Linked DNA regions of Caenorhabditis elegans. The protein of the gene in region 3 purifies or fractionates together with the protein of the main gene of each other region. This does not show direct contact. Each region holds a gene or a part of one and is shown on either strand. Other genes may lie near its edges.

Region 1 (6,344 bases), on a different chromosome or scaffold from region 3:
TCATATAAATAATTATATTTTATATACTCACCCGGGTCATATTATTCACGTTTTCATAAATTAATATTTTGTATTTCCTACCAATTTTTATTAGCTAGAGTTAGGGCTGTTATGAGGGACGTCCCTTTTTGGGGGGCGGGGGCGATCATTCGTCCCCCTCATGGGGGCGAGGGACGCCCCCGTCCCCTGGTTGGGGGATGGGGGACGACCCTCGTCCCCGATGTGACGAAAAGTCGCGTCCTATTCATTTTTACTTATATTAGATATTCACCTCATTTAAAATATTTTTACGTGAAACTCGTTTCCGTTAAATTGTGCGGGTCCATCGTGGATATTCCACACAAAAAACGTGTCACTTTAATAATTATGAAGCAAAATCATAACTTGTTTTGCTATCGACATGGAGGATACAAACGCACATTTTTCGCACTGGATGAAGGAAGCGCCCCCACGAGGGGACGAGGGGCGCCCCTTTTCGTCCCTCATAACAGCCCTAGCTAGAGTCGTTTAACAACAGGAAAAAAAGTTAAAAAAATGAATGGTACAGTAGTTTTCAGTTTTAAAGATTAACGAACAAGGCAAAGCAATAAAATACAACAAAACAATGGAAGCTATGAAAAATTGGGAAATGATACAGTATCAATTATATTAGCAGCTTCACATTTCTTCGTGGCTGATGTGACGTACTAGAATTGGAAAATAAGGATCTTCTTGCTTCGCTTCAACCTTCATATTCTTGAGACTCACTGAAAAATATTTATTTTTATTTTAATTTGTGTCTCAACGACTAAATATCTTACAAAGAAGGCCCTCAAAGGCGGTTGCTGCCTTTTTACGATCGTGATCCGCAGTGAATTCATTGAAATTCACCCATTCTGGATATCTTGCTTCTGCTTCGCTGAAAAATTGATTTTTTTTTGATTTTTCGTAGTTCCAATTACGATCAAAACTGAGCGATTGACCTGCCAATGCGTCGCACAGAAAAAGAGGCGGGGTGTTGTTCTGCAAGCCTGCGGCTCGTGGACAACTATGAAATAATTTTTCGCGAAAATTCTGGATTTCGGAATATTTTCGCTAATTTCGTTGTTGTTAATATTCGAAATAAACTGACTATTTATGGTATTTTTCCGGCGAAAATGGCAAATTTTCGTTGAATAAACTCCAAATTTTTAGATTATTTCGAATATTAAACACAAAAAAATAAGCGAAAATTATCCGAAATCAAGCATTTTAGACAAAAATTTATTTACAGTTTTCCACAATGGCTGGCGAGCCGCAAGTTTAAAAAAACGACGCTCCGCCTCATTTTGTGTGCGGCGCCTTGCAAAATTTGCAGGTCGATCTTTCTGTTTTAGTGTTAGTATACACACTTGAGCAATTCCTTGTGGATGTTGAGCCGATTATTGGGAAGGAGACTTCCAGATGAATAGAAGAATAGTTCATCTTCTCTAGCATCTCGAGTCCGTTCTTCATCCTCGAATAGTCGATTACGGCGAGTATCCTCTTCCAGATCGTCAGCTGAAAATATTTTATTTTAAACTATAAAGTGGGGGCGACAACCGAAAGTTTGAAAAATAATCGGCGAGTATAACAAAAAAATCGAACAACGAAAATTCTCGATTTTTCAAAAATCCAAAAATAATGTTTTTTACTTTAGTAAAAAAAAAACCAAAAGCCCGACACAAACCATCGGTTTGCTTATTTTTTTAAAACAATTTTGGTCATTTTCTACCTAAAGAAATCCAAGATATTCTAAAGAATAAAATTATATGTTTTCTTATTTTTTTTATGAGCAAAAAAAAAATTGATTTTATGATTTAATGTGATTTTTATCGTTCATTCTCTGAAAATGTAAGAATTTTCGATTTTCGAGGAAAAAATCGAAACATTTTTGACCTTTTATTCCGAAAATTGGAATTTTTTTTTGGTAATTCGAGAACTGCCCAATTTAAACATTTTCGGCAATTTTCGGCAAAAATTATTTTCAACACTAAATCGACATTAAAATATCTCACTTCTCATAAATTGAACCCCTAAACTGCTTTTTTGACGGCGTCGAACATTTTCAAGTTCTTCTTCGGTTCTCATCGTCAAAAGTGGATCAATTTCTTCAACTGGAATAGGATCCAAATTCAGTTCAGCAATGATGCTCGTCTCCCGGCGTTTCTCTGGAGTTGGGAACAGACTAATAACTGAATATTTCAAATCTTTGATCGGCGTGGGCGTACGAGCAGTTCTTATTGGATGCGGGGGCGCTTCATATTCCAAATTCTCAAAAACTGGATTCTCCTGTAGCTGTCTTGGCGGGTTGATATTATCCGTAGATGGAAATTCTTCAGGTTGACGAGGTTGCTCTTCTAGAAGTAGAGTATCCTCAACGATGCGATTTGGAGACAGAAGACAAACTTTTGCATATTTATATTCTTCCTCTTCTTCCTCATCTTCATCCTCTTCATCATCGCTCACTGGACTTCCAACAGCTTGATTATAACAAGCTTTGAACATATCCCGAACCTCTGGAGGAAGACGATATCCGATACTGAAAACTGGTTCTGGTAAGTTCATGAGCACCGCGACTGCATCCGTTTTTGGTGGAATCTTTGCTATTACATCCTCCTTCTTACGAACCAGTGAGGAATAATCGGCTTGTAACACTTTTTGCACAGCTTCGTCGATTTCCAGATCATCGCTGTGGATGATCGGCAGATTGCGTTTCGATTTTTTCCGTTGAGGTAGAACATCATGAATTTGGGAGTCTATTGCGAAACTCGGATCTTCCGGTCGCACAGTTGAATGAAGATCTGTCAAATCGGTTTGATTAATCGGAGTTACTGGACGCGATGATGGTCTTCTTCGTGCTCTTTCCAACGCGTCTTCTTCCTCTTCGACTTTTGATTTCTTTGCTGGAGGTGGTAGAATTACATCTTCAAACAATTCTAAATCTTTCGGCAATGGTGGCAGTCGGCTGTTCTCGTCATCGGGTAAATCGTTGATCAATTGAAGATATTCAACAACCATATCCTGCTGACTCGCTGGAATGGTGACAAGATCAATTGCATCTAGTTGTGGTGGAAGCTCTGGCTGTGGAAGCTCAAGCTGTGGCGCGGGCTCCTCGATAATTGGTTGAATGGGCTCTTGAATAGGCTCCTGGGGTGCTGGTTGTTCCACGGTTTCACTCGGGAGCAGAGCAATAGAGACAAATTTTGTAGGCTCTTCTTGCACAATTTCAGAAGCTTCTTTGGGGAGCTGAAGAGCCTCTTCTTGCTCTTCCTGGAGGATAGCAGATCGTTTTCTGGAATCGACATCTATCGGAAATTTCTCGCCAAGTGTGATTTCAGGGATCTCAGGGAACAAAAGTTGGCTGAAGTCGGCAATTACCGCGTCATTTCGTCGTTCCTTGTTGTGCTCATTTGAACCGTTACCCTCGACAAACGTGGAGTGCATGGTGATTTCTTTTTCTCTGAAACACGAAAATTTTACTTTTGAAATTAATTTAAAATTAAACTATCAATCCATCAATTTTGCAAAAAGCAATGTCGCACAGAAATAGAGGCGGAGTGTAATTTCTCTACCCTGTGGCACGGTTTTTTCAGAGCTTTTGTTGATTTTTTTAAAATAAAATTTCGATTGTAATTGGTTTATTCTCTTTTTTTCGAATGGAAATGCAATCCGCATAAATTCTCATAAGATTATAAGGATATTTAGAGCTTCATTGGTTGTAAAAACAGGAAATATCCTCGCAATCTTATGCAAATTTAATTGGATAGCATTTTCATACGCAAAATGCGAATAAATCAAGGAAAATCGAAATTTTATTGAAATAAGGTGAAAAACCGTGCCGCAGGGTTCATGTGCGTCGCTGCTTTTTTTCAAAATCTGGGATCGATTATTCAGTTCCGAACCTCAGGTAAGGCTCAACACATCCATAGATCGCATTCAATTCTGAATTATTGTCAATCCACTGATTCATGTTGGGCAACGCATCCATCATTATAAAGTCTCCTGGATTTCCATTGATCTAGAAGAATATTCTTGATTATTGATTATTTAATTAACTTGAACTCACTCCCAATTCGTCGCCAATTGCTTGTAAATGAGCCAAATCAACCCGATCCAACTCCTCGACGCACATAATAGGCTTAGATCTCAGTCTTGCGAATTTATCTTCTTTTCTCTGCAACTCTTGGTTTCTGTCGAACCTTTCAGCCATCAGCAAAATGAAACTTTTCTTCTTCATGAGCTCTTTGAGCTTCTCGACGTCTCCTGAAAATATTAATTGATTTCTGACGATACAATTCTCCAACTCACGTTTCAAGAAATCAACCTGAACTTGATGGATCAAAACTGTTCCATATGTGAGCAGGGATAGCAAATAAAGTCCAGTTTTTGTTGCTGAGCCCCTGTGCCGTTCGGGAACCATTTCAATGATTGAATGACACAGTTCCGGGAGATTTTGGTCCAAAATCTCTCTTCGTGACAGCTTTTTCGAGTCGCCGGTACCAAGAATCCTGGAAAAGCAGAAATTATAAATTAGATTGAAAAGATGAGAAAACTCACCAAGCCACGTGAAACACGGCATCTTTTCGAATTACTTCCGCAGAGACAACCATCTGCAAGAAAATACATTTTCGACTGATTTTACGGTTTTCACAACGGCAAAATATCAGTTTTTAAAAAATTAAACCATAAAACAAATAATATAACCCAATTTTTACATCAAACCACAAGAAAAAAATACATTTGGGCCCACGGATAAAGAAATTAAAAAAATACATTTTTTAAAGGCGCACCGAATTAAAATTCATTTGGGTCTTACCGCGTATACCGTACTCCGTTTGTTTGATCATTTTTGTCAGCGCTGGCGGTTGTTTTTTCATTTCATTTCTGCTTCAAAGACGTTTTCTCGAATAATTTTTCGTTTATTCTCTTTTTTAAAATTAATTTCTAGCCGTAAATGTTATAAATTCACCCATTTAACGCAAATTTCATGGTAATCTCATGGAAAAATGCAGTTTCTTTGTTAAAGAAAGCTTAAATAGCAAAAATTCCCCGACTTTCCCCAAAATCCTGCTCGATTTTCCGTTTTCTCATTGTATTCTCTCTTAATTAATTTTATCGATAATCAATTGAATGTTTCAGACAGAGAATGAAAGCGGCATCAAATAGTGTCTCGTCGGCCGGAGGATCAGTGTCACCTACGACAACCCAGCCACCACTACCACCAGGGCAGTCGTCACATCCTCAAATCTACGATCAACAGGTATTCACAATCAACAAATGTTGATAATATTACAGTTATATTTTTCAGATGCAGTACTACTTCGCGGCTGCCATGCCGAACCAGCCAATGGCGACGTATGCGGCACAAAATGGATCTTCTCAACAGTACGCCCCAGCGGCTCCATATTATCAAGATGCCAACGGACAGTATGTGCAGGTTCCCGCGAACGGATCAATGGCTCCTCAACAGCACATGATGGTTTCTGGTCAACCGTATCTCTATATGGCTCAACCACAACAAGGAGCTCAGCAAGTCATGCAGTCAGGACAACCACAGCTCATCTATTATCAACAATCAATGGCTCCACAAGCGGCTCCAATGTACTTCCATCCTATGCAAGCCGCACCGATGCTTCCAGAACAAATGGGTGTGATGCCACATACGCAGCCGGCAATTCCACCTCAACAACAGCCAAGACAAGTGGGAGTGGAGATTAGTAGCACACGCACAGCTCCATTGACCTCGTCTACTCCTCTTCCAACAAGTCTCGAATACGAGACTGTTCAGCGTGATAATCGCAACAGGAACATCCAATTCAGATATCATCGGTAATATTAGTTTGAAATTTAATATAAAAATTATATGTTTTTCAGTGTTATGGAGCATGACGAGTTGCCGATCGATGAGATCTCAAAGATCACCCTTGACAATCACAACGATGACACGATGAGCGCTGAAAAGGAAAATCATTTCCATGAACATCGTGGCGAGAAGTTCGGTCGTCGTGGATTCCCAATTCCAGAAACTGACAGTCAACAACCACCCAACTACAAGACTCGTCTTTGCATGATGCACGCATCTGGAATCAAACCATGTGATATGGGTGCTCGATGCAAGTTTGCTCATGGGCTCAAAGAGCTCAGAGCTACTGATGCTCCGGCTCGCTATCCGAACAACAAGTACAAGACAAAGCTGTGCAAGAACTTTGCGCGTGGAGGAACTGGATTCTGCCCGTATGGACTTCGTTGCGAGTTTGTTCATCCAACGGACAAGGAATTCCAGAATATTCCTCCATATGTGAGTTTCCACTTTTGCTCATCATTTTTGAAACTTTAACATATTT
Region 2 (7,601 bases), 130 kb from region 3:
ATAAAAACAGTAATGTATAAGAGAGAAGAGGGAAAAACGTTTGAGACCTTTAAATGCGGGGAACTGTGTGACTGAGTGAATCGGTTTTTGATAATTAAGAAATAATGAGGGGTAAGGGAATAGTAATAATGAAATTATACAGATGATTTGATAGTCGCGGTTGTCAAAAATTTATATAATTTATGTTGCAATCGATGGTGTTGGTGGATTTTCAGTCATTTCATTGAGACCAATTTGTTTGAAGCGCGTCAAATCGAAAGTGAGAACACCAGATGTTGTACAAGCGGCTGGATATGGGAAGATTCCGATGAGTGAGTCAGCTTTGTTGTAGAACTCTTCTTTGAGAGAAATGACGATAATTTGCATATGCTCACGAGCTGATTCACAGATGTACGAAGCGACCTGAAATTACAAAAAAAACGTTACAATCTTTTCTCGCAGGTTATACTAAAGGCGGAGTAAAATCGTTTTGAAATTTTGCTTAAAAGTTTGATAGTTTGATAGTTTTTTAGATCAACTATCAAAAATATGCAGAAAAACCGGAGGATTTACCCTTATTTTATAATTTTTGTGTTTTACAACAGTAATATTCGGTCATTACAGTCATTTTTCTATCTTTTGAAGCAAAATTTAATTTTAATGAACAGTTTAAATAAATACCTTTCCAATATTAGTATTATCCAAAGCAGCATCAATCTCGTCGAGAACGAAAAACGGAGCAGGATTACGTCCGTGAACTGCAAAAAGCAGTGCCAACGCGGCAATTGTCTTTTCTCCTCCAGACAAGTTATCCATCGGACGGAAACGTTTTCCAGGAGCTACACAATTGTACTGGATACCATCCAGATAGGGCTCTTCCATGTTATCAGCTCCGAGGAAGGCTTGAGCAGAAGTATTTCGTGAGAGTTGCTTGTAAATGTCATCGATAGTGTTGGCCACAGGATCGAAGAAATCTTGGAAGCGTCGGTAGCGATCGGTTTTTACCTGAAAAAAACAATATTTTAAAATCGATAAAATATATGAGAAAAGTGAAATTGAAGAGGTGTGAGAGATAGAGGGGACAGATTGAGTGACAATATGGGTACAACTGTTGTCATTTTAAAGTTATGAATGTCTATGTCTCTTATCTCTAATGTTTTTGTCACTTGGTGTCCAGAAGGTGCACATTTTCATTTCAAGGAATTTCAAGAATATTCTTATTTTCAGTATAGGAAAATTATCGCAAAAAAATTATTTTAATGAAGCGGTTTTTTTTTCGGTGATTCAAACATGTTGGTTCAACGTTTTTAATTTAAAAAATGTCAAAATGTAAAAAATCACCCGATATCTGTGAAAATAACATTTTTTGAGTACTTTATCAAATCTTTTGACTGAAATAAATGTTCTTTTCAGATAAATCAAGAGATTTTCTATACTTTGAAAAAATAACTGATGCCCACTCCTGATTTGAATCCATTTTTGACATTTAAAAAATAATGCATTTTGTAGGTTTTAAATATATATTTTTTAGCTAATTTTCTAGTTTTTATCTAGTCAAGGAATTTTTTTTATTTTGGCCCACAAAATTATGTGTAAAATCTAAATTTTTCAATGTCTAAAATGGATTCGAAGCTCTCCTAAACTTTCATTTTTATCGATACATTTTCAGATACTAAACGTTTGGAATTTCTTAATAACTAACCTTCTCGAACTGTTGCCGAATTCTCTTCGCCTTCTTTCGAGCATTTTCAAGTTCTTCAGTCGACTCGGCTTCTCGTTCTTTCACCTCTGCCATTCTCTGATTGGCTTTCAAATTCGGCGCATTCATTTTTGACACATTTTTCTGCAGTTCATCGATTTCCACATTGAGTCGATTCGACATTTGCCGTACACCATCATCGTCATCCACCTGTAATGCAAATCGTGTGAATCTAGAAATGAACTAAAACACGGAGGGGGGCAGGGCGGGGCGGGGTTGGCAAAAGAGCAAATAATTTTTGATCAGCAACCATCACTAACAGGACTGCTGGTTTTTTTTAAACCGAAAAAGTAGATTTTTTTCGTATTTTGTTTGGCTCAAAAATCGAAAAAATTTAGGGTCAAAATAGTTCAGAAAAAATAAATAAATTTTTGTTGCCAGTATTTTTTCGGTTTGCTCAGAAAACCGAAACATGTCTTGGCAGCACTAACATCTTTATATTCTCGCGGTAACGAGTCGTAGTTGATTTTGATGTGTTGCTCTCGTTGAATTTGCTCCTCTGATACACTTGGACCATCGGTGGCTGATTGAGAAGACTGAGAAGCTGTGTCATCTGAAATTAATTGGAACTTGAAAGGAAACAGGGAGACAAAAATTATGAAATATATATCTAAAAGCTGAAAACTGAATTATGGAAAAGTGAAAATGCGATTTTTTCAAAACATCAAAATCAAAATAAATATCCAACCTCCATCATCTTCCTCATATTCAACGTCAGCCATACTTCCTGATTTGAGTGGTAACGCAATTTGCCCAAGCTTCACAGAATGAAGAAGAGAGTGCCGTTCATATTGCTTCTTAGTAAGCAAACTTTCAAGACGAAGAAGCTCTTTTTCAGCCTTTGTAAAGTCTTTCATCGCAACTTGTGCAATTTTTTTGACCTCATTCCACTCGGTTTCCAATTTATGTGATAAGGCCTTCTTCTCTTCCAGCACTTCCTTGTCTTGCTCCATGGATTCCGTGTGCTCTTTCAAAGCGGCCGCCGCCGTTTTCTCTTTTTTCTTCATGTCCTTATATTGTCGGTCGATTTGTGAAACCTGTAATAAAAATATTTCAAATAAGGTAAACAAAACAATTTTAAGAATCTTAAAGAAACTGATAAGGAGTTTCTTTACAAAAAAATGAAAAACGTACTTTCTCCTTTTCAACTTCAACTTTCCGATTGCCATCTTGCTCGGTGACAAAGTCAATTTCGTAGGCCAACTTTTGGATATCATCGTCAAATGATCGAAGCTTGTCTTCCATTTCTTGCTTGATACGCATTTCACGATTCTCATAGTCACGAATCGATGCGATTCCAACACGAGTACAGAAATCAGCGAAAATTCGATCAGCCACTTCATTGCTCTTCGTTTGCAGAGATTTTAAAGTACTTTCACTGCGTTCAAGTTTTTCTTGACAATTCGAGATTCGCGGCTGAAAATATATCAATTTTTGCAGATTACAAATTTAAAAGGAGGTCTAATGGCTCCAAAATTTGCTCCAAAATAAATAAATTTTTGAAAGATTTTTGAGAATTTTCATTACGAAATTCGTTAAGTTGAGCACTTTTTGGGGTTATAATTTTTTTTTTCCAGAACCGTTGGTCACTAAAAATAATCACCGGAAGCATATTCATCTCCGCGGTCATGCCTTCAAGCTCATTTTGAAGTCTTTCCAACTGCATTTCTCGCATATTCTTCAGATCTCGCTTCATCATTGCCAATCTTTGCTCATTTCCATTAATCTTGGAGCGTACACTTTCCACTTCGAGTTCACGACGACGATGTTTCTGAAGATCCGCGATTTTTTCGTTCAGTTGGTTCCGCTTTTCTCGGAGTTGTCTGGAAAAATATTAATGTTTTTTTTTCAATTTAATAAAAAATAAAATAAAAACTCACTTGACAACTTTCTCGTCCCATTTCTTGGACTTTTGTCTCAAATCAGCAGAACCTCCGGACATAACTCCAGATTGTTGGAACAGAGTTCCGTCCATCGAAACTGCCTTGAAACGATCTTTCAGCTCTCCTCCACCGTATGCAAGCTGCTTAGCATCTTCTTGACTCTCACAAACTAATGCGTTTCCACAAACGAATTGAAGAGCTTTTCTAGCTGCTTGATGTTGAGGATTGATGACATCGAAGACGAGCTTCACTCCAGCTGGCTTTTTGATTTCACGAAGTTTTTCATTTAGTGGATTAACAACTAGTGCATCATTTGGAAGGAAGGTTTCTGGGGGATAACGGTGATCCTGGAAATTAGTTATTATGAATTGAAATTTTGGAAGTGAAAAAAGAACAAACCTTCAGATAAACAATTGCCTTGGCAGCAGTCTCTTCAGTATCACAAACAATACTGTTCATATGCTTCTGAAGAATCTTTGTGGTGGCAATGTTGAACCGTTTATGAGACGGTTGACAGAGATCGACAAGTCTACCATACACACTCTCCGGGAAATTCTTTTTCAATCCTTCAAGTGCCTCCGTTCTTCTTTGATTTCTTTCTCCTTCTGCAGAATCTCCAGAAGCTTCGGAGAGTTGACGAACGACAGCTACAAGCTCTTTGTTGTATTCCGCTGCTGCTGATTTATCAATAACAACGTCATTTTCAATCTTCTTAAGATCAGCTTTCAAGATCTTTGTCTCTTCTTCAGTTTCCTTGATTCTTTGAGCAAGAGTTGCAATTTGAGTTTCAATTCTTCGCACATCACCTTCCTTCGCTTTAACTCTTTCTTGATGCTCCTTTTGGCGTCGAAGCTCATGATTTAGAGAACTCTTATCACCTTCGAACACTTGTTCGGCCATCAATAGCTCTCTTTGAACCATTGCTGATTCTCGCTGAGCTTGATCTTTCAGCTGTCCGTACTCACGTACTTGTTCATCCGAAAGATTTAACTCGCCTCTTTGCATCATATCCTGAATCTCTGCTTCATATGCGGCCTTCTTCTTTTCTAGCTCTTTTTTGCTTTTCTTCAAATCCGCCAGCTGAGTCGAGTTGTTCTCTGCCTTACTTTCTGCAGCGGCAAGCATCTTCTTCGCAATTTCCAGCTTCTTGTGCTCGTGAGCAACGGAAACTTTCAATGTCAGCATATTTTGTTGCTTTTCAGCCAAATCCGTCTCTTTCTGATCGAGTTTTCTTGTCATCTTCTGAACCTCGCGGAGAGCTTTCCGGTGCTCCTGATGAACCGCAGCGATTTTCGCTTCTTCTTTCGACTGTAATATATAATTTTGATTATTTTTATATACTATAAATCAATCAATCAAAATTTTACGATAAAATATTGAACAATATTAGCTTCACCGGAAAATAACTTTTGTATAACTTGGAAGAACTGCTTTTTAAGTTGTTCCAAGTTAAATAAGTAATTTTCAGATAAAGAAAATATTTTTCTAAAGTTTATCACAAAATATGAATGAAAAATATTGGAAGAACGTCATTTAGTAGAATTGCCTTCATCATACCCTAGTTGCTTCGAGACTTGCAATCGTCTTTTTCTGAGCGTTGATCTCCTCTTTTGATTCGTCGATCGTCCGTTCGCAATGGAACAATTGATGGAGAAATAGCATCGTCGATTTTGCAGCCAGCTCATTCTTCATGGTTTGATACTTTTCAGCTTCATCTTTCTCCATTTTTGCCTCACGTTTCTCTTGAGCGATTCCTCGTCTCTTGTTCATATTGTGTTGAGTATCATCTTCAGCTTTTGTCATCTCAACTTTCAATCTTTCATACTCTGCTTGAAACTCGTGTGATCGTGAGAGCTCCTCGAAGAGTTGAGTACGTTCTTTTGGAGTTTTCATGGCAATATTTTCGATAGCTCCCTGATATACCAGAAAGTTTCTTGCCTTGATGAAGATATTGATACTTTCCATTTCTTGTGAATATGCTGCACTTGTGACAGTTTGACCATCAAGAAGATGTTCAGATGTTCCATTATTGACGCCTCTGGTGAATGCCTTGACTTTTCCGTCAGAATATTTGTAGTTCATAGTGACACGACATTTCTTAGCAACTGGCTTGTTAATTGGTGCACCATGAATCAAATCCTAAACATTATTGATTAAAATCTTCTATATTTTATACTTTTTCTCTTACCGCATACTTTCTAACACGCAAACTGCTTGGCTTCTCTCCGAGCACGAACGAAATTGCGTCCATAAGATTTGATTTTCCTGAACCATTTGGTCCAATGATAGCTGTGAATCTTGTAAAGGGTCCAATAGTATGTTTTCCCTTGTAAGATTTGAAGTTTTCGATCTCGAGTGTGTGGAGAGTTCCTTTGCCTGGAAAACTATCCAGCGAGCTTCCGCCACGCATTATTAGTCTGAAGAATTAAGTAAAAAGTTATAGTTGAACAAGAATAAGAATGGTGAGGTAATTTTTGGTAGATAAACCAATATCATACATGGAATAAATAAAAATAGATAATAATGAGAAACCAGTTTAGTTTATTTTAAAAAAAGTGAATATACATTATGACCAGGTTTGCCGATAATTTGAGGAGCTGATTAAATCATGACAATGCATTTTCCCGATTGCTTGGTGAACTCTGTGTGCTGGGAGTTCCAAGGTTTTGAATAAGACGGACAAGGTTCAACGGTGAAACGCCCAGTGATAGTAACTGAAATAAGTGAATAAAATACTGGGAAAATCGATAAAATCTCACCCTCTCCACTGACGAAACCTGCTCAGCTGTGAGGAAAACATTTAGAAATTTTCCCATTTCAACAATGCCTGTAAATGTAAAAACATTATCGATTTATATTGAAAAAATTCAACTTACGCTGGGTGTGTTTCTTTGGGTCGCTCATAATCGATAAAATAACGGGGAGATAAGTGAAATTGATGATCCTTAAATAGAAAAATATAATTTCAATCCGTTGTTGTCAGAAATAACAATAATAAAGCATAAATTATCGAAAAATCACTTAGTATCGTTAGATGAACAGGTTCAAATTTGAAATGTGAGGACGCTAAACGAAACGCATAAATGTTACTGCGGAGTGTCGTAGTGTTGTTTTTGGAGGAATATTAAAATGAATTTCTTGCAATATTTCGTGATAAAGATGGTACAAAAGGTAATAAAAACAATAAGAAGTTAGTATTGAAAAGTTAAAGATTATTAGAGAAAAAACAACAGAGAATGTTGTAAAAGAGCATTCCTAATGCCACGCTGATTCAAAAACTCTGAGTTAGTACGCGGAACTTGCTGAGAACATCAATAAAAAATACAATTTTCAATAAGAAAACAACTATTTACATAAAGCAACAGATCGAAGAGAAGTAGTTAAATTCGTCAAACCTAGTGTAAATTTTTGTTTTTTTTTGCATGGTAGAGTCAATTTTTTATTTTTCTGATAGTACTAAATTAAAAAAAACAACGAAATATGTGAAGGAAATCGCAATGAATTGAAAAATTTCTCTGAAAGGCTGCCGTAAATATACATTTAAAGGGACACAGACTCAGTCGTTCGGGTCTCGCGGCGATTTTGGAAGTCACGTTTGAGGCCCCACGAAAAGGGGAGCAGAACGAAAAGGGGATCTGCGAAAAGGGGAGATACGAAAAGGGGAGATACGAAAAGGGGAGCAACGAAAAGGGGATCTGGCTGTGCCAAACGCTATTTTTCTCGAAGAAAACGATACAACGATGCTCCGATGTTACGCGTCGCGTGTTGTTAAGCGTATCTTCTAGAAGAAAATTTCAAAAATCAACGTGCGTTGCGTGAGAAAAATTGCGTTTTGTGCGTTTGGCACAGTGCCAGCTCCCCTTTTCGTTGCTCCCCTTTTCGTATCTCCCCTTTTCGTATCTCCCCTTTTCGCAGATCCCCTTTTTGCAGATCGCCTTTTCGTTCTGCTCCCCTTTTCGTGGGGCCTCCCAAAACAGGAT
Region 3 (5,021 bases):
TTATTCGAATCTGAAAATTAATTATTTTTATTTAAAAATCAATATATCTCCAATTAATCTCACTTTTTCAATACCCTCTTCATTATTGGTAACAGCTGATATGCGTAGAGAACATAGTCGACCGTTGAAAATGGAAAAATCACTCTCGTAGAGCACCCTCGAATCGATTAATGATGTCATTTATCCTGAAAAACGTTGATTTTTTTCAAAATGTGGCGAACTAAATAGAACCCAAAAAGAGAAATTCATTAAAAAAACACAATTCTTAAAAACTTTAGCTGGAATAAGAACAGAATGCCAAAGTGAAATCGATTAGAGTAAAGAGCGAACGGCCACTGAAAAAAGGGAAACAAGTGTATGTCACCGCGCTCCTTTGAGAAAGAAAACGGCGCTATGTTCAAAAAAGAACGCCAACGAAAGAATTCTGAAACGCTGGAAAATACTTGAATAGCTCTAAATATTTCATCACATGCAAGTAATATTTTGTATTTTAACAAATTCCCATCATCATCGGATATGAAAATTAATATTTAAAAAATTCATTCGAAAACTAAGGCATTTGTCCAACTATTAAAAAGGAAATCGAAGAAACAACAAAAAAATGGAACAGATTGATAATTGTACACGATTGTCCAGAAATCGTTCAGTTTCCTCTTCTACTTGGCATGTTCGGCGACTGGCCGTACCTCATTGCCTTTGGAGGGTTTGGTTTGAATTTCTTGGAAGTCGATTGGTTTTGAGTGGAGCTTTCGGTATCTTCCTGTGGATCTACGTCACTTAACGAACCAGCTACATCAAGAATACTCGAAACTCGGCCGTAGTGTCTCTCTGTGGCAATAGCTGGAGCGGCACCTGATGGATCTACGTCAGCGAACGAACCAGCTACATCGAGAATACTCGAAACTCGGCCGTAGTGTCTCTCCGCAGCAATAACTGAAGCTGCTCCTGCTGGTTGCTCCGTGACAACCGTTTGAGCTTCTTCAGACTGATGCTCCGTCACAATGATTGGAACGCTCTCCGATTGATGACCAGTAACATTAATTGGAGCTGCTTCTTCATGCTGCTCGGTGTCAATTGATAAGTCGGCAAGTCCCTCAACAGCAATTTCATTTTGAGCATCTTGAGCATCATTTTGAGCATCGTTCTCCTCAGCCCTTGCTACATCCAATATACTTGGTACACGACCGTAGATGGGACTTTCACGAACGTCTTCCTCCACTGTATCGTCAGTTGGCAGATCAGCGACGTCGAGAATACTCGACACTCGTCCATATTTTCTCTTCCGTGGTCTTTTATCCGGGATACTACCGTTCGCCAAATCTACCTGAGCCTCTTCCGAAACCGGATTTGCAACTGGGTCTGGTTTTTTCCTGTTAATAGAAGTATTTGAAACGCCATATCTTGCTGTTGAGCTCTCCTGCTTCTCAGATGTAGTATTATCTAGATCCGCAGCTTCCTCAGGTATTGCAGACTTTGATTCATTTCTCTTCTCGGGAGAGGTGATAATAGCATCAGAGTCAATTTGAAGAGAATTCTGAGCATCAGAGTCAATTTGAAGAGAATTCTGAGCATCATCATCATTTTGTTCTTCTGGCTGTTCATCGACTTCAACTGGAGGTACAAGCCGACGAGCACTTCTCTGTAAATTATTGAACTTAACATTTTTATTATAACAATAAAAATAATTACCCTTTTTGGGTTCACTATTGGTTCTTCTTCTTTCTGTTCGCATCGTTCATTGTTCTTCGTGGTGCGTTTACTGGAACGTCTCATCTGAGCTTTTGGCGCTTTTTGAGGTTGCTCTTTCACCGGGGACTCCACGGGAGAAGCCGGTTCCGTTGGAGTTATCGGGACAGCGGGAGCTCTCGTTGAACGTTTCTTTGCAGCTTTCACTATTGGAGAACGTTCCCTTTCAACAACCATTGGAACTTCATCATTATCAGCAATCAATACATTATATTCGGACTGCAGAACCATCATTTCACTGGCCATACTTGGATTACAACGAATTGATTCGTTTGCCACATCTTCGTCCATACGTACTTCTTGACGACCTATAAACATTAGAAAATTAATTTTTTTTCTCGACAAAACGCACCTGGTGAAAAATAGATTTCGTCAAGTTCAGGATTCTCAGCACAATTCATTGTGTTATCTCGAACAACTTCGATCGGTGTGATCGTTGAGTTGAGCAAATCATCTTCAAAATGAGAAACTTCCACTGGTGGACGAATGGCTGAAGGCTGTTCAACCATGAATTTCGAGGCATATGCGAATTGAAATCTGAATCAATTTAATTAAGAATTTGATGATTGAAATGACGAACAAACCCATTGCCGTGAGGAAAACTAACAGCACCAAGATTGATCTGCTCAGGATTCACAAAATCGTCGACTTGTTGAAATCCGGGAACGAATTCCGGTTCTAAAACAATAATTTATTTATGATTTAAATTAAATATTTTTAACCTTACCTCCTCTGTATGCTACTTTCATCGATGGAATGAGGCCTCTTGGTAGCGGACGGAGCAGGCTTAGAACATTTCTAAGCTCGCTGAACATCTTGCAAAACTGTTGAGCAGTATCATCCATGTTTAAATAATTCACCACAAATTTAGATTTACGCCTGGAAAAGAGTCAGTGAAATTTATATTTAGATAAATGATCTAACCCTCCGTATCCGATTTCGGCACTTGCAGATGTGGTTGAGTCATAGACAAAGGTCCAGACAAACGTTTCCACGGGATTCGTGTTTAGTGACTCTTCAACGACAATAGCGAGTTTCTGCAAACAATGAATTTTTACCACTTACGAGAGTAAAACTGTACCTGAAGGAGTTTCTGACGGATCGCGTCATGAGACGCCAAAAGCTTCGAAGACACACTCCGTCCTTCTGGAATGTCTTGTCGCAAAGTATATCCGCTGACATCTCCTATAAAATAATTCATGCTTAATTGCAAGTCAGATAGATAAAACCTCACCATAAACTTGAAAATCCTGGAAGTATTCCGCAGGAATAACTTTCCGTTCACGGAGAATTGTTGAGTTTGCAAGATAAACGCAGTTGGCCATCACTTCAAGAGAGCTTTTCGAATTTTCATCACCATTTTTCAATGTTTGCTCGTTGAATATAGCCTGAAAATTTTCGTTTTCTCGACAAAAAAAACTCTGTCAAATCTACTCACCCTGTCATCACTCGTCAGAGAGCCAGGGACAACAGAAGAGTCGAAGCTTTCGTCCATTTTGACACTTAAAATATTTTAAAACATTTTTTTTAATTAAAAACTAATTGAAAATGAGAAAAAACTGAAAAATAAATGAATAATTTGACATAAAATAACTAATTTCAACCGAAGTTTACCGTAACTCAGGTCAACATGTTGTGTTCTCGTGTCGAGACCCATGGAAGAAATGTCATGCACCTTTAAGTTTTTTCTTTTATATTTCAATTTTTTTCCGTTCATTTTCTACTTAAAATGCACTTTCAAGAGAATTTCTCATATTTTGAAGTTTTAAAATTGTAGTTTATTAAAATCTGAGCATATCTCTATGTATTTTGAGTCTAGAAACCGCTTTGAAATGTGCAAAGAACAGATGAAAGCACTTAAAATTTAAATAAACGTTTTTTACTTATTCATTTATTGTGTTTTTAAGCTTCTATATTTAATAATGAGACATTAATTTCAGATGAAACCGACGACGAGAAGCGCATCAAAAAGAGCAAATGCGGAATCTTCGGGAGTGAACCAGCCCGAGAAGAAATCACGAATTCCTGAAACAGAAATTGTAGAGGATCCGTTGGAGATCGAAGTACCGCCCGCATCGGCAGATGGCACTGACAACAAGAGTTTTTCAGAAAATGAATACGACGATGATCACAGTAGCAGCAGCGACGAGGAGAGTGATGATGAATACGTTGTGGAGACTCACAAGAGTTCGATGGTGGATGCTGCAGAAAGTTCCGAAGGCGAGCGACCGGATGAACGCGTATGCTGCCTTTTAAAAAATTTTTATCGATTTAACTTCTTTAAGATTGTCCGAGAATTAGAGCAGAAAATTGCTCGTGGGTTGAAGAACGACAGGATTCTCAAAAAGAAAAAGAAAGCGTTAGATGGGGAAGTCTCAGACACTGAAGACGTGGTTTGTGAGTACGAACCACAAGCGATGCCGAAGCAACGAAGAAGGCGACTGTATAGAAGAAAAATGGTGGGATTTTAATGCTAGTTGTTGAAATTTAGAAATGATTTCTTGCAGACCAGACCTCAAGGAGTCCCTAAAAGACGTCGCATCAAGAGACCGGACCTGGAACTTGCAGATGATTACACCTGTGACACTTTTGCTGAGCAAGGATTGACTCTGAAGGTGTGTAAGAATTTATAATTTAAATATTTGCAATAATTTTTCAGTCTTTGACAAGTGACATCAAACAAGACGATCCTGAAGTCGATTGGAAAGCAATGAGAAGGATGGGTATCGGAATCAGATCAACAAAAAGAGACGAAATCAATTCCGATGAGGATGAAGCGGATATTATTTCGCATTCATTTTCTTTCTACCAAACAAGAAACTCTAAAGAGCAAGTGGCACAGGCCGTCGAACTAAATATGAACCCTTTTTCGGAGAAGATCGCGAGCTACAAGTAATTGTTAAGAGAAATATCATGAATAAATATTATGTTTTCAGTGCTCCAAAGTCCGTTCATGGATACAGTCGATCTTCAATTCAAAATCAACATTCAGGATTTATTGACAAGAACGACATCAAATATCCGGACGAATTATTATGGCAGGAACCATTTACGTGAGTATTTTAAAACCATATATATTGATTAAGAATATTTTTCAGCCATCTCGTCTTCTTCCAATCCACATTCAATGCTCACGAGTCTTCCATCAAGTTCCTGAATAATGTCGCAAATTCAAAAAAGCAGGAAAGAGACTCCAAACTGATGAAGGAAATTCGCGAAAGGATTAAGCAGAAATCGCTCGGACATGTAGATGTTCCAATCGACTACACAAACGT

Evidence for each region.
Region 1: the proteins of htp-3 (region 3) and rec-8 purify together in Caenorhabditis elegans (affinity purification with mass spectrometry, with the first as the bait; one study listed by BioGRID). This does not show direct contact.
Region 2: the proteins of htp-3 (region 3) and him-1 purify together in Caenorhabditis elegans (affinity purification with mass spectrometry, with the first as the bait; one study listed by BioGRID). This does not show direct contact.

Annotation. Positions count from the first base shown.
Region 1 is NC_003282.8:13,348,584-13,354,927, forward strand, and holds rec-8 (Meiotic recombination protein rec-8), read right to left. Parts: upstream 4,611-6,344; coding exon 4,558-4,610; intron 4,509-4,557; coding exon 4,309-4,508; intron 4,264-4,308; coding exon 4,067-4,263; intron 4,019-4,066; coding exon 3,903-4,018; intron 3,461-3,902; coding exon 2,016-3,460; intron 1,519-2,015; coding exon 1,371-1,518; intron 899-1,370; coding exon 801-898; intron 747-800; coding exon 658-746; 3' UTR 539-657; downstream 1-538. Other genes in the region: Zinc finger protein mex-5, read left to right, coding at 5,147-5,260, 5,309-5,829, 5,875-6,298.
Region 2 is NC_003279.8:4,951,630-4,959,230, forward strand, and holds the start of him-1 (Structural maintenance of chromosomes protein 1), read right to left. Parts: upstream 6,039-7,601; 5' UTR 6,032-6,038; coding exon 5,810-6,031; intron 5,761-5,809; coding exon 5,179-5,760; intron 4,930-5,178; coding exon 4,021-4,929; intron 3,969-4,020; coding exon 3,619-3,968; intron 3,562-3,618; coding exon 3,342-3,561; intron 3,155-3,341; coding exon 2,873-3,154; intron 2,776-2,872; coding exon 2,427-2,775; intron 2,292-2,426; coding exon 2,170-2,291; intron 1,889-2,169; coding exon 1,682-1,888; intron 985-1,681; coding exon 661-984; intron 403-660; coding exon 181-402; 3' UTR 1-180. Other genes in the region: mzt-1 (Mitotic spindle organiZing protein (MOZART) homolog), read right to left, coding at 6,228-6,335, 6,381-6,448, 6,498-6,525. UniProt on the Caenorhabditis elegans protein: Involved in chromosome cohesion during cell cycle and in DNA repair. Required for chromosome segregation during mitosis. Central component of cohesin complex. The cohesin complex is required for the cohesion of sister chromatids after DNA replication.
Region 3 is NC_003279.8:4,825,299-4,830,319, reverse strand, and holds htp-3 (HORMA domain-containing protein), read right to left. Parts: upstream 3,249-5,021; 5' UTR 3,242-3,248; coding exon 3,185-3,241; intron 3,135-3,184; coding exon 2,981-3,134; intron 2,932-2,980; coding exon 2,828-2,931; intron 2,784-2,827; coding exon 2,671-2,783; intron 2,626-2,670; coding exon 2,474-2,625; intron 2,425-2,473; coding exon 2,331-2,424; intron 2,284-2,330; coding exon 2,099-2,283; intron 2,055-2,098; coding exon 1,690-2,054; intron 1,640-1,689; coding exon 644-1,639; 3' UTR 524-643; downstream 1-523. Other genes in the region: F57C9.4 (C2H2-type domain-containing protein), read right to left, coding at 1-10, 64-180; tofu-4 (Twenty One u-rna (21U-RNA) biogenesis Fouled Up), read left to right, coding at 3,687-3,986, 4,032-4,205, 4,254-4,361, 4,406-4,638, 4,683-4,799, 4,845-5,021.